Rhinolophus ferrumequinum: one gene and its partner. Each later gene encodes a partner of the first gene's protein in a complex. Links are inferred from orthologs where the notes say so. Each region holds a gene or a part of one and is shown on either strand. Other genes may lie near its edges.

Region 1 (7,521 bases):
GTCTCAGAGACATAGAGGAAAACCTGAGGGTTGCTACATGGGGGAGGGATAAGGGGGAAGGTGAGGGGGATTAGAAAGCAGGTGGTAACCACAAGAGGGCCACGGGGATAGGAAAGTAAGTTTAGGGAATGTAATCAATAATGTAAAGATTTTATAGAGAAGCCGATGGACACTTGTCTCATTAGGGAGACCACCTCAGGGATGATGTAGATGCCTGATCACTGCACTGTATACCTGAAGCTGAAGCTGAACAATAATGAATGTCAACTACAAGTTTATATATATATATATATATATATATGTATATATATATATATATTTATATGTATGTATATACATACAAGAAGTGGAGTACAGCATTAGGAATGGAGACAGTGGAAATGTAATGGCTCTGTGCGATGTCAGAGGGGTAGTGGATGGGGGGAGGGGGGTTGTCACTTTGTGAGGGATATAAATGATAAATGTCTAACTATTACATTGTTTTGTACACCTGAAACTAATTTAAAAAAAGGCTACTGCTTAATCCAGATCAGAGTTGGAGTAGAAAATTAGTATTGCACATGGTTAGAAGCAACTACATTAAAATATACTCTGAAAGTGGAGATGACAGAACTGGCTGATGGACTGGATTTAGGGGTGAGGAAAAAAGGCTAGATTCTTGGGGTGGCCAGTGAGCTCAGTTGGTTAGAGCATGGTGCTAATAATACCAAGATTGCTGGTTCGATCCCCACATGGGCCACTGTGAACTGCGACCTCCTTAAAAAAAAAAGCTAGATTTTTGGTCTAAGCAACTGGATGAATGATGAGGGGAAAGGGCTAGAAATGTACTTTTGGGAATCATCAGCATATAGATGGGTACAATGACCAGGGGAGACAGTGTGGAGAAAAAGGGTCCCAGTATGAGTCGTAAGATACCTCAACATTTAGAAGCCAAGAAAGGGAGGAAGGGGGAGCCAGGAAAGGAGACTGAGAAAGTCTTCAGGAGGAAATCCAGGTAAGCATGTCAGAAAGCCAAGAGAGTTTCTAGTTTCTGTACCAACTGTTGCTAAGAGATCAAGAGAGTTAAGGCCAGAAAATCAGCCTTTGGAAGTGACAACACGGAGGGCTCAGGTGATCTTCACAGACCCATTTCTGTAGACTGGTGAGGATTAAAGCCGAACAGAATGATTGAGTGAATGAGGGGATACACAACACTTCTAAGTTTTGTTGTGACAGGAATGATGGGAAGCAGAAATGGAGCAGTAAGTGGACATGAATGTGGAAACAAGGAAGTTTTTAATATAGATAAATTAAAGCAGGTTTGTATGCTGACAGGAAATGCTCTAGTAAACGGGGAAATTGATAATGATGGTTTGAGGTAGAGTAATACGAACATTTTTCCAGTTGCAGATTAAACCCCGTTAGTGAATAGCGAAATCAATTTAGAGGGTCAACATTCATTTTTAATAAATGAGTAGAAACTGAGGAAAGAATGAAGATGGGGAAAATATAAAATGGAGTCACTTTAACCAAGCTGCTAAATTATTAACATTATGAAGGTTGAAGTATGAGGAAACGATTCTTTGTCTTTTCTTAACTAGCCCCGGACCTGAAACTTTGGAACTTTCTAGTCCTGCATCAATACCTAGATATATACCAGTCTGTTGAGTGTCAATGCCCAGACATACATCAAACCTGCAGATAACCCTCTGACTACTCCTAAGGACTCAGAACAGACCTCCTGGCACTCATCCTCCAGACCATGGGCATTCATCATCCAGACCACCTGACATCTGACTGATAACTGTCCTCAACCAATCAGAGGCCCTAAAATGCAGGACTGTTTATTCTCAAGGATATAACTTTTACTACAAGAACTCAACTTTTCTTTCTTCTTCGGAACACTTCTTGAGAGTTTTGCCTAGCTGTGCTTCCACTTAGCAAACTCTTAAGACCCTTGAATAAATCTTTTTATTTAAATATTTTTATTCATTTATTTCTAGCCAGAGCTTCCTGACTCTTTTTCAGTAGTTTTGACAATATCAAAGTGTACTGCATACGGTAGGTGTTGTTTCATTAAGTTTTCACTTAAGGTACATATACGTATTGTGTGTTTTTTTTAAGTTTGAACAATAGTAGTATATATAACCATTAAACATGAGGCAAAAGAACGTAAAGAAAAATGTATTAAATAATCAGTGCCAAAGATGACACAATATAGGTATGCGTACGAATTAATGTCAACCATGTGAAAACACACATGCAGAGTAGCTGCAAAAGCTCCATTTGCATGTAGTACAATGAGCAAACATGAAAAAGACCAGGTGGAGTTAAACTGTCAGAATGGCTGTTCCTTCCTCCCTCCCTCCCTCCCTCTCTCTCTCTCTCCTCGGCTCTTTCCGTGGTTACAATCCAGGCTCAAGCACTTTCTTCTTCCCAGAAAACTCGCCTCTTCCCTCCCAGGGTTAACTGCTCCTCATCAAACTCGGGTGGCACTTCTGAGTCAGGGCCGCCCAGGAGCCCACTGCCTCGGACAGTTTATCCGTCTGTCCCGTAGGTACTTCCAGGGCGGACTCCAGGCTTTCTACCTTCTGAGTTCCCGCTCGGACACCCGGCCGGACTCCCTACTGTGACTTAGAAGACGCTAGTAAATGAATAACGGAGGAGGCAGCCACCGTGAAAGGCACTTGGCCCCAGTCCTAGGCACCGGGTGGGAGTGCGGGCGGAGGTTCAGAAGGGCAAAGCGAGGCTCTTTCTTCCCCGCCTCCGCCGCGTCACTCTTCCCACAAGCCCGGGCTGGGGGTCGCCCGGTGTCCCCGCCTCTCGGCCCCCAGCATGCAGCCGTCCCTCGCCAGGAGCCTCGGCCCACAGCCGGAAACGCGCCCCGGGCAGCTTACACTTCCATGCCGACCCCGCCTCGTCGCCTCCGGCCGCCAGCACACACACGACCTCAAACCTCACGGCCGCCGGCGTCGAACGCCAGGTCGCCCGCTCCGCGCGCCGCGGGGCACGCCGGGAGCGCCGCGCTGCACGCCGGGAGCCCGGCGGACCGGGCGGTGCAGCCTTACGGGCGGCTGCGCTCTCTTTCAGGTGTAGGTGCCATTCGCCCAGCCTGACGTCAGCCTGTGAAGCGTTTGCACACAGAACTTAGCTCATGTTAAGATTTCAAAGACGTCACCGCATTAGTAAACCTTTGCGACGTTAAAATCGTACCCCTCGGACACGTTACGGTGAGGGGGTGAGGCGGCTTTGGGCTGCTGGAAATAATCTTTTCATGATCTGAGTGCTGGGTACGCGGTGTGTTCAGTTTTTGAAAATTCAGTGAGCTGTACACTTATGTCCACTTTTGTGTATATATGTTTTAATTGGATAAGACATTTTAAAAGGGAAAAAAATCCCATCCTTCCTTCTCCCTCTTTCCATTCTTCCTTGAGAACGACTTGGCAAAAAAAGAAAAGTACGCATAAAGAGCCTTACCGTCAAGCACAGTCTGATCTTCCGGCCTTTCTAGGAACTTACCAAAGGCAATTACCAGGTGCTTTAAGAAAGATGAACGTGTAGTGATGTTTTGACTCGGAGATGGTCTAAATGCCCAACACTGGGGAATTAATAAATCATGTTTCAGTCATATAGTATAACATGCGGCCATGACAGGTTATGTAGCATATTTGGTACCCTGGGGAAATGCTCAAGATAGGGTTTTTTTAAAGATAGAAAATGATGTGGTGTGACCCTAACCTAAGGAAAAATAATGCATACGTAGGAAAAAATAAGGGTTTGGGAGGTAAAGCAACCTAATCTACCACATTTCAAGCCTTTTAGGGAAAAAAACGGGTTGGAGGTTGTGCTCGCTTCGGCAGCACGAATACAAAACGGGTTGGAGGTTGATGTCTATTATTTTCTGGATTTTTTTTAATATATCTGAAATATTTCCTAAAGACCGGATGGAAATGTGCCAAAATATTAACAGTGGAACGTGTCCTTAGATGATGAGTCAATTGCTATTTTTTTCTTTTTTATAGTTCTATTAGTTATCATTTACTAAACTCATTCTCTTCGTAAGGCCCTTGCTAAGCACTTTGCTATTCCATGATATTAACAGTTAATTGTGCAGGCTTTATAGTCAGAGAGCCTGTGATTCTGTTTACCTCCATCATTTTCTTAGGGACTGTTTGACCTTGAGAGATGACATACCGTCTCCTAACCTCAATTCCCTAATCTGAAAATCATAGATCCGTTAGGTAATCCTTATAATGTACCTGGCATGTAGTAAGGGCTCAACAAATATTAATTACTGTGACAATACAACCATAACACTATATGAGGTCAATCCCATCATTATTCAAATTTTATTATTGAGGAAATAGAGGCAGGCTTAGAGAGATTGCAATTCACCCAAGATCACTCATCTAAGAACTTGCCCAGCAGGGATTCAAACCCAGGGAATCTGAACAAATACAGGAATTGTATTTAATTGTTAATAGTGACTGATGATTGGATAAATAAAATGTGCTATATTAATTCAATGCAATGCTATATTTAGCAATAAAAGGAATGGAGTTACTGATACATGCTACTACATGGATGACCCTCAAAAACATACTAAGTGGAAGAAGCCAGACAGAAAAGACCAGATGTTTTATGATCCCATTTATATGAAATGTCCAACAATAGGCAAATTTATAAAGACAGAAAGTTAATCACTGATCACTGATGGCTTAGGGCTGGGAGAGGGGAGGCAATGCTAAGTGACAGTTAATAGATACAGAGTTTCTTTGGGGGAAACAGTGATGTCCTAAAATTAGGTTGTAGTAATAGTTGCATACCCCTATAAATATACTTAAAAAAAACACTGACTTGTAGACTTTAAGTGGGCAAATTGCATGGTATCTGAATCGAATATTGAATATCCACAAAGCTGTTAAAAAATGTTTTACTGGTGTTTGCCTATGGGTATTGGATTAGAAGAGAACTGAGGGGAATTTTTAACATTTAACTTTACACATTCAGAATTTTTAAAATATTTTTCAATGTACATGTTATTTTTAAATTATAAAAATATTATTTTAAAAAACACTAATTTACTTAAAATTTTTTTTTAATAAAATGCCACCCCAGGCCCCAGCAGTGCTAAAGACACACATGTGTTCTGTACTCAGCAAACAGTGGCGGTGGTGAAACAAATGTGAACAATGTATACTTCTTGCCTGGCTGACAGCCTAGTCTGGGAACCAGCTCTGGATATCGATAACTACAATATGTTGTGTTTAAACACAAGGAGCAGAGGAGGAAATGACTAATGAGGTGGAGAGGCATCATAAAGTCAGGGGGTTTGAGCTGGGTGAGGGGAGGAGCACACAAACACAAAACTGCAGGGATGAGCTTCCATACAAGAGAGGCTAGTGCCTCTGAAGGCCCCACAATAAAATGGCTGAGCTCCAGGTACTCCAAGGGTGGCCACCCTAAGACCTTGGGAATCACATGCAGTCACCTGACTTATCCCCTACGAGCAGCTTTGTAGTCAGGAGTGAGACCCTCTCCCAGGGGAAGGCTGCCCAAAAGGATCCTGCAGGATGAGCTAACCCAGCCAACAAGCTGGGACAATCAAAGGCTGAAACTCCCACCTGCACTGGCCCCAGGCGGGGCCTCCTTGCAGCTTTCCTAACTTGAGGATGCCTAATGAGTCCCTGTTCTTTGCCACCCAAAGCACACAAACCTAGTAAGTGTCTTGTTTTTCTTTTTCAACAACTGGCCTTTAAGCAGAGGTAGCAAATACATAAACAAAAGCACAGAATTTGAGCAAAGTCTGTATGTCTTCCAAGTGGAAAGTTCTGTTGAACACTGAAGCTATTAGGTCTAGAGCTCAGAAGAAAATCAGGAGATGGAGCTTTTGAAGTAGAAATGAAGCCTTCAAGTTAAGTCACCCAGGGAAGGTCTAGAAGAGTAAGACTTATTGCTTACCTGATGCCAGGGATTTGATCTACCGTATTTCCCTGAAAATAAGACCGGTCTTATATTAATTTTTGCTCCAAAAAACAGATTAGGGATTATTTTCAGGGGATGTCTTATTTTTTCATGTACAACAATCTACATTTATTAATGTACAAAAATCCACATTTATTCAAATATAGTCATGTCATCATCTTCTTCTGGAACATCGTCATAACTCTCCAAACCCCGAATTGCAGCTTGAATTTCTTGCGACTCCATTTCCTGTAGAACCATTGGCCCCAATCTCTCATGTCCAGCAATAGAGCGCTCCTTAAATGAGCACTTCTTGTCCATGTAGCCTGCTCATAGTGCAATAGTAACACAGCTGTCAGTGATTTTATCCCATGAATTCTTCACCCAAGTCACGACCTCTTACAGGCTAGGCTTCACAAAGTTTCCACAGATTTCCCTCCATTCTATTTTCAATGTAGTCATTGATTTCCATACACAAATGGTCCTTGAATGGCTTGTTTATTGCCATATCAAGAGTCTGGAGACAGGCAGTCATTCCTGCGGGAATAATTATTTGATCTATTCTCTCTGCAAGGAAGTTCTTCATGTCTTTAGCGCAGTGAGTGCTGGCTGAATCCCAGACTAGCAGACCTCTTTGGCCACCTGGCAAAACCAGTGGCAGCATTAAATTGACCCACTTCCTTATAACTGCTTGTGTGCACCAGGTTTTTTCGGTTTCAAGAACATAAATGCCTGAAACATGTTCAAACTTATTTTTCTTGCCCTTAGTGACGATTAGAGGTGGGGCTTTCTTTCCACCCAGAAGAATTGCCAAAATACAGGTAACACATGCACTTTTGTAACCAGTGGAGGGAATGTAGATTGACGAGGCACCCCTCTGATCAATTGTCATTTGAGATCCTTGGCCCATAAACACTGCAGTTTCATTCATAACAATCATGTTGGAGAGCTGGTATTTATAAAAGTTGTTGCCATCGACAAAGGACTGGAATGCAAGTGCACGTTTAATAACTTCAGTATCTTCCAGCTTTAACAGTGTTGTCGATCTTAGAGACAGTTCATATCGCTGAAGGAAGACATCCAGCCAGTGTTGCGAGGCTTTGAATTCTTCTGGGGTATTTCTAACTGTGGTGCCACTACAAGGTCAAATGCTTGAATATCAGCCCTGTGCACAACCAAAGCCTTTGCTCTCCTGTCAGCAGTCCATTCACAGATGATGTCTTCCAGCTCAGGAAATAATGATTACTGACCTGATCCACACTTGTGCTTCTTAGCGTTTCCCTCGTACACCTGTTGACTGAGGCTATTGTACTCTGCTCGCCATTTTTGAACCATTCGGAGATCCAACTTCTTCTCTTTGCAGAAAGCCTTAAGATTCTGGCCCCGGGAGTCCCCCACGATTCCTTTCTTGTACTCGACGGAATAGCTCTTTTGTTTTGCACTCATCTTGTCTGGGGATCAAAATATTATTCCCTTTAAATCTACCATTAAATCAAGTGTTACTTGAAGACTTACGACACAGGAGTGGCAACAAAAATGATGGCAGTTAAGATGATGGTCCACACAAAAGCGACGAAA
Region 2 (7,241 bases), on another chromosome or scaffold:
ATCCAGGAGAGCTTGGAAACACTCTCCTCCCCGCCCTGTTTTTCTCAAACTGTTTTTTCTCACTGTTTTTCTCAAACCTGGTAGAAGACTGGTTGGAAACGTAACACGGCTGCTGTGTGAATTACGGGGCCCACGCCGTGCAGACTTCCCCTAACAAATTCATCTCCATCACCTGGGACGTGGAGACGCCCTCTCTTCTTCCCAGAGGAGCTGCCAAGGGCTGACCAATCGGCTTCCCCGAGTATTTAGGGGTCTATTTGGCAGTAGCTCCTCAGGCTGCTTTTATCAAGATCTCACCACACATACGTACCTTTTCCGAGGACCCCAGGACACATTTACCTTCAAAGGTTTTTACTTTGCGACACTAACCCTGCTCTTGATGGAAACACCTTCAAAAATTCTCAAACACCATTTTGGACATTCGGGGCATAACTTAGCTTTTAATGACAACTTCTGCCTTTGCTAAATTGTTCACGTGGCGGATCTGGGTACCGGTCCAGAGAGGCAGAGCAATGGCACTAATCTTACTTCGCTGTTCCTCCCCTCGGCGCAGGTTGTCTAGGGCTCTGCTCTGCCCTTCCTTGGTCACATCTATGTCTATCAGAAACGAATCAAGACTTGAAAGAAACATTTATTTTACTGAGACTGCAGTTAGGTGCTCTCTGGTATTAACGTTTAACACGCCGCATGAGAACAAGACCACCACATTTATTTCCCGCGACTCTGATTTGTATTATTCCTGACCTTGTAGCTATCGTAGCTACCGCCTGTAGAATTGCCTGTTATATGCGAAACACTATAACTCACTTGGGTGCTCTCACAACCTATGAGTGTGGATTAGCCCTGGAGCGCTTCAGGGACCCCAGCAAGGTCATAAAACAGTAAGAAGTCACCCCGAGACTTTAACTCAGGACTGCACGACTCCAAGGCTTGTGCCAATATCATTGGAGTTAACAAGTAAGTTCTTAAAGCGCAAACACACTTTCTAAATACATCACCGACTGCCACGGAGCAGCAGCCAGTGGCTTCATACTTACCCACCGCTCAGTTACAGAAGGCTTTCCCTCTTACCTGCAGTAGAGTCAACATTCTCCCAGGCAGCTGCTCCACCAAGCACATCATCCACTTCTTTGAGCTTTGGATACTTCCGATTTGTTACCTAACAAACAACAGCAAGCCTTCAGACTCTCCAAGTCAGTGAACAGTGCAACCGTGGGCCACCAAACCACACCTCCACAGCTGCCCTCAAGTGTCTTCCCAGACTGTCTTCCTCCCAGCCAGCAGGGAGACTAAACGAAAACAGTGTTCCCGCTACCACAGAGCAGGACGCACCACTGGAATTTAAAGAACCTACGATTGGGATGCCCCCACAAGAGAAGAGAGAGATTCAGCCGTCAGAGAAGATCTCTGCAAGGATTGAATGAAACACCAGAGCAGGAAGACACGATGGCTTAGGTGTGACCCTCCTCTACGCCCATATCTCTAAGATACCACCGCCTAACCCAAGATGTGAGAAACAAATACACCTGAAGCCAAAGAGTACCAGCTGGGGAGCCCAGCCGCTCCCCGCAGGCAGAGAGCTTTCAAAGCACTCAGTTTCTTTCCCAAGTTTTACCCGACATCCTTGAAATGTCAGGCTTACGTAAGAGTTCACTCTTCTCATAGATCCAGACTCTAAACTCCCACAACACAGCAATATGGTGCAGTACACAAACACTCAGAACGGGGTGGCCCCAAGGGGCTCTACTTCTAAAGAGTAAAGATGTCGTGCAGGGTGTCAGGCGGGGTCTCTGGTCCCACTCCCCACATAAGAACGCAGGACATAGTGAGGCCAAAAAGGAACACCCACGGAGCCATAGGTAGGGGAGTCACACCACTATATTCTCACTGGCGGCTGGGTTGGAGACACAGGAAACCAGGAGCAACACAAGTCTCAACCCTCACTGCTCCACTTGCTGGCTCAGCCACCATCTTCTCGCTAGCCCCCATTTCTGTTAGCCTAGCCACGGCAGTTATATTAGTGCCCAATGGCTCACTGGTTACAGCTGACGGCCAACTAGCCACAGCTGATGGCCATTTGATCAGTCGATGGCCATTTACTACCTGAGCCAGCACCTTGCTATGTGAGGCCGAGAGCCTGGAAACTGCTTTTTGGGGCTCTGTCCCCACAAAAGATCAAGGGGAAAATACCGAGTCCTAACACCGTGAGCACAATTCACCGCAGTGAACACCTCCACATCCTCAGTTCCATCCTCGGCGTTCCGACTAGCACACAAGAGGGAACAAAACAGAAAGAGCCCTGCCCTCCTACAGCTTAGGTCTCGGCTTCGGTAAACAAAGCACGTAAGTAAATTATACCGTGTTATTAGAAGGTAAGGAGTCCTAGAGAAAAACCAAAACCGGGAAAGAGGATAAAACGGAAGGGCTGCAATTTTACACTGAGTGATGATTTAAGTGACGACGTGACAAAAGAGTGGCACGGCTGTCTTAGGGGAAGTCTGGACCGGACAGGAAACGTGGGCAAAGGCGCTGCTAGTAATGCCACGTCCATCAGGGGGGATCCTCCAAGAGGCTGGTGTTTCTGGGGCAAAAGAGCCCCTTTTCTGACATCAGAAAAGCAAGGCTGGGGGGAGGGGCGTGGTGTCAACGCTCGGTCTGCCCCGCGAGCACATTTCACGCTGGCGAACTGCTGAGCGTTACCGAGCGCAAGACGGACTCGATCTGACTTCGGCGTTACAAGGACCGCTGTGGCCTCGGCGGTGACCACGGCCAGGGCCTCCACCTTGCGTCCTGACAGGGGTGGAGCACAGCCGGAGGAAGCGGGAGGCCTGCGGGGGCCCGACGCCGGGCTCCAGGACCCACCTTGCGGGTGATGTTGTGCACGTAGGGGCAGGTGTTGCAGGCGAAACGGTGGCAGCGCTGTCCCTCCTCCACGATCAGCCCGTTCCCGCAGCCGGGGCAGAAAAGCAGCATGACGGCGGACTCAGCCCCGCAGGCTCCCGGCAGCCCCCGCGGCCGCCCAGGAGCCGACACTATGCCCGCCCGCCTCGAGCTCCTATTGGTCCTGGCCACCTTAGCCCACCAATAGACACGCCGATGTCGCGCTCCCAGCGAGCACCGCGGCAGGCCATCTCGCACTTCTCATTGGTCCTCGCGGCAGCCAATCGACGCCCTAATGTCGGAACTGACTGCGGGTTTTGCTCCGCGGGCGAAAGCGCCGCGCCTCGGTCTTGCAGACGGACGGTGCGGGCGGAGCGCGCTCGGCAGCGAGGCGCCCTGGAGGCGGCGGAGGCGGCGGCACAGCCCGAGGCGCAGGACGACGATGAGGACGAAGAGGAGGCGCTGCCGCACTCCGAGGCGGTGGACGTGTTCCAGGAGGGTCTCGCCATGGTGGTGCAGGACCCACTGCTCTGCGATCTCCCGATCCAGGTGCGCGCGGGCAGGGTGCAGGCGTCGTGCCCCGCCGGGACGTTCGTCGGGTGTGGATCCCGCGCGGTGCTGATGGGGGCTGTGGCCCAAAGGCCTCAGGAAGGCACCTCTGGGCGTAAATGAGGGTCTTAACCAGGGCCGAGCCTGGGGCGGGGCGAGCGGGGCTCTCCCGTGGGGCGCGGAAATTAAAGAAGCGCCAAAATAAATAAATCAATCAATAAATAAATAAATAAATAAATAAAATAATATTTTAATACGTTCATAACACAAAGTTGGTGTAAAACCTATCGCCAACAAAAGAAGGACGAGATCGTTAGTGCCGGTTTTTTCCCTTCTCAAGCTTCAGTATTCTTTGGTCCATCATGGAGTTTTCAAGTTAACTTGTATTTTCTTAAAAGTTGTATTGGCAACGTGTATCATCGCACACGTGCCTCAACCTTCTCCAGAGGCCCGGGCTTGGATCCTGGTGATCAGAGGCTCCCAGAACGCACGGGCAGGCCCAGGGTTCTTCTTCCTACCCAGCCCCTGGATGAAAGGATCCATCCTTCTTGCCTGTTCCTGTGCTCCTTTCTCCAGAGCCTCTGTCCGCTTTGGACTTTAAATGGGAAATGTGGGTGGCACATGAGATTGAGGTGCTGGACTGGGAAACCCTGATATATAAGTAAGAACCCTTTCCCTTTCTCATCTTTCATATAACGTTGCACCACTCTTTGGACAGTACCACCTTGTTTTTCTTTGTTGTCGTTTTGGGGTGGTAAAGCCAGGGCTCCCACCTCCCCCCTTGGTCTTTTCTAGGTTACTTTGGAAGAGGTCAATTCCCAAATAGCCCTAGAGTATGGCCAAGCAATGACAGTCCGAGTGTGCAAGATGGATGGAGAAGTCATGCGTAAGTGCTGCCCTCCTCCCTTCAGGCCGTGCAATCTGAGCTTTCACAGGGGCTGGTCAGTGGGACACTCAGGGGCCATGCCCATGGGTGTTGGGGCAACCACAAGCCCACCCACCCAGATTTGAGCCTCGGTCAGAAACAAGGCTTGACAGGGCTTCTGGGTTCCTCTCCCCCCACCTGAGGCTGTGGCTGGGGCTTCCCACCATGGATCTTCTCCCTTTTGTGTCCCTGGTTGCAGCTGTGGTCGTGGTACAGAATGCCACAGTCCTGGACCTGAAGAAAGCCATCCAGAGATACGTGCAGCTCAGGCAGGAGCGGGAAGGCGGCATTCAACACATCAGCTGGTAAGTGGCGCCAAGGCTCTTTGCATCCCCTCCTGGGAGCTGGACTGGGACTCCACAGGACTCCGTGTGCTTTTTAGTCACTGAGCCCTGTTACAAAGTACTGACTAAAGTGATGCGCTCCCTGCCCGGAGCTTTCAGACAGGGCAGGTGCTTCTGTGCCTGGGAGTCCTGCATCACCTGCTCTTTCATCTGCATCACCCCACCTAGGCAGCTGGTATCTGTACTTAGGGACACCTTAGGGCATGTGTGATGTGTCCAGAAGTGGTCTCCTAGTTACAGACGGTACATCCAGGACTTCTCCTGGATGTTCTTCTCCTCCCTTGCATGGCCCACACGGCCCTCATAGAGCCGGGCCTCCTTGTAGCCGCCTCAGGCACAGTGCACAGTGTACAGGAAACAGCCCAGAAGAGGCGGCCGGCTGCCCCGGGCCCACAGAGCTGAGCACCGTGAGCCGCTCTCAGTCACAGCGTCTGCATCCCAGCTGCTCCACTCACCCTGCTCACGGTTTACCTGAAACCCTACCTTGCAGGCCCTACGTGTGGAGAACGTACCATCTGACCTCTGCAGGAGAGAAGCTCACAGAGGACAGGAAGAAGCTCCGAGAGTAAGTCCAGGCCACATGTTGAGCTACAGGCAGGCATTTGGGCGGTGCCGTCTGGTTACACATGCTCTGCCAGACGGCTGGGGCCCCCTCCCAGGAAGGAGGGATCCTCAGTCAGTTCCTGAGGACTCTGTGAGACCTACAGAGGACCCTGGCTGTGCTGACGCCTCCCGCTGGGGGCCCCCACGAGGAGAATGCGGGTGGAGGAGAGGGGTGAGGGGCCCTACTGCTTCTCACCAGTGGCAGTTCAGGGCAGCACAGAGGCAGAAGAGGGGAGAAAGAGTGCATGGAGGTGAAAGGCTGCCCCCTGGTACGTGTGGCCACTGCCCCCTCCTGGATGCCACACTCTTCCCACCTGTTCTTTCTTGGTTTTTCACCAGCCTCAGGTGAGGAGTCCTGGATGTACCCTTCTGGAGATCAGACACTTGACACCTTTCCTTCTCTTTCAGTTATGGTATCCGGAATCGGGACGAGGTGTCTTTCATCAAAAAGCTGAGGCAAAAATGAACCCCTGGACGAGGACAACTGTGCCGGTGACAAGCTCTGCCCAGCAGGAAGCAGCTTCGGGCCACTGTCCCCTTGTCACAGGAGAATGTCAAAGTGAGCACAGGTGGACTTGTCTGAAGCCTGGGCCCTCAGGACTAGGACCTGACGAGCCAGTGCTCGTGACCTGAGCTTGACCCCTCCCTGAGCCCAAACACCCTCATCTCGTGGCAGATGCCACAGGGCTGTGGGCCAGGCCCTGAGTACAGCATAAACCTCTCTGCTTCTGACCTGGAAAAGTCCACAAGCCACGGTCCCGGCAGGAGGGACGGGCACTGCGGCATCCCAGGAGGCAAGGGCAGAGAATGGGGCCGGTGCGTCCTGAGGGCTGCGGAGGCCACCTGACCATTACTGTGTCCCCCACGGCCAGGAGGAAATAAATGTGTGTCCCCCACACGCAGCTGGCTTTCTCTTCTACTTGTGCAGAAACAAACGGGCCTGTGTGTGAGAGCACAGCCGTCGGCAGGGCCTCCCGCCTTGGCCCGCAGGACTGTACAGCGGTGCCATCCCCTGGCTCCCGGAAATGGAGGGGCCTGGGGCAGCAGCTGGAACTGCTGGCTGAGCAGGGAGGGCGCTTCTCAGTGTGTGTGGGGGGGAGAAATGACAGCACATCCCTGGGTCTGTATCCCATTGTGGCTACCGGTAACTAGGAAGGGAGCTGGGGGCAGGGGGTGCAACCTGGCTGAGGGACTTCCCTGGGAGGTGTTTTGTATACTTCGTTCCTTGTCTGGGGAATTGTGAGTGAGAGGAACGTCCCGCCACAGCCCCCAGCCAGGAACGAGAAAGCAGAAGGCAGCTCTGGTCAAGTTAGTGGCAGCTAAAACGCTCCCAGTCCATTTATTGGCCACCTGAGGTGGTCGTCAAGAGACTAGTTAGAAGGGAATCACGGGAACTAGTGTAATAAATGCCCAGAAGTACGAGAGGGTCAACAGCAGTGAACAAGGCACAAGAGGTCTGTGTCCAAGACGCGGGCGGACCCCACACAGGGCTCAGGCAGCCCTGTCCGTGGCCTACGGACCCCACACGGGGCTCAGGCAGCCCCGTCCGTGGCCTGAGAACCCCACACGGGGCTCAGGCAGCCCCGTCCGTGGCCTGCAAGGCTCGGGGTGGACGGCGCCCGGGAGCAGGTGGCCCCAGTGGCCAGCAGCTCAGTGGAGCTGGGCGTCCAGCTCGTACTTCTCGCAGAACTTGTCGGTGAAGGGGATGCAGGTGAGGAACTCACACCACTCACAGCGCACGGGGTAGAAGTAGAAGAGGACCACCAGGCCGGCCAGCAGGCCCAGGAACACGGCCTGGAAGATGAGGATCTGGCAGCGCTTGCGGTACAGGTCGAACCTGCCGAAGCTGACGTAGGGCAAGAAGGCGAAGGACAGGAAGAGGCCGCTGACGAAGCCCGAGATGTGGGCGAAGTTGTCGATCCAGGGCAGCAGCCCAAATG

Evidence for each region. The genes of interacting proteins can lie anywhere in the genome.
Region 2: CRCP (region 1) and POLR3K share a complex: the UniProt entries of both Homo sapiens proteins name them as parts of the RNA polymerase III complex. The link is inferred for Rhinolophus ferrumequinum from reciprocal best matches to the Homo sapiens genes CRCP and POLR3K.

What each region holds. Positions count from the first base shown.
Region 1 is NC_046290.1:99,603,547-99,611,067, forward strand, and holds the start of CRCP (DNA-directed RNA polymerase III subunit RPC9), read right to left. Parts: upstream 3,019-7,521; 5' UTR 2,885-3,018; coding exon 2,877-2,884; intron 1-2,876. UniProt on the Homo sapiens protein: DNA-dependent RNA polymerase catalyzes the transcription of DNA into RNA using the four ribonucleoside triphosphates as substrates.
Region 2 is NW_022680357.1:2,145,592-2,152,832, forward strand, and holds the start of POLR3K (DNA-directed RNA polymerase III subunit RPC10), read right to left. Parts: upstream 3,022-7,241; 5' UTR 2,974-3,021; coding exon 2,863-2,973; intron 1,160-2,862; coding exon 1,072-1,159; intron 1-1,071. Other genes in the region: SNRNP25 (U11/U12 small nuclear ribonucleoprotein 25 kDa protein), read left to right, coding at 3,388-3,429, 4,225-4,315, 4,554-4,659, 5,189-5,263, 5,710-5,767; RHBDF1 (inactive rhomboid protein 1), read right to left, coding at 6,952-7,241. UniProt on the Homo sapiens protein: Core component of RNA polymerase III (Pol III) which synthesizes small non-coding RNAs using the four ribonucleoside triphosphates as substrates. Can mediate Pol I proofreading of the nascent RNA transcript.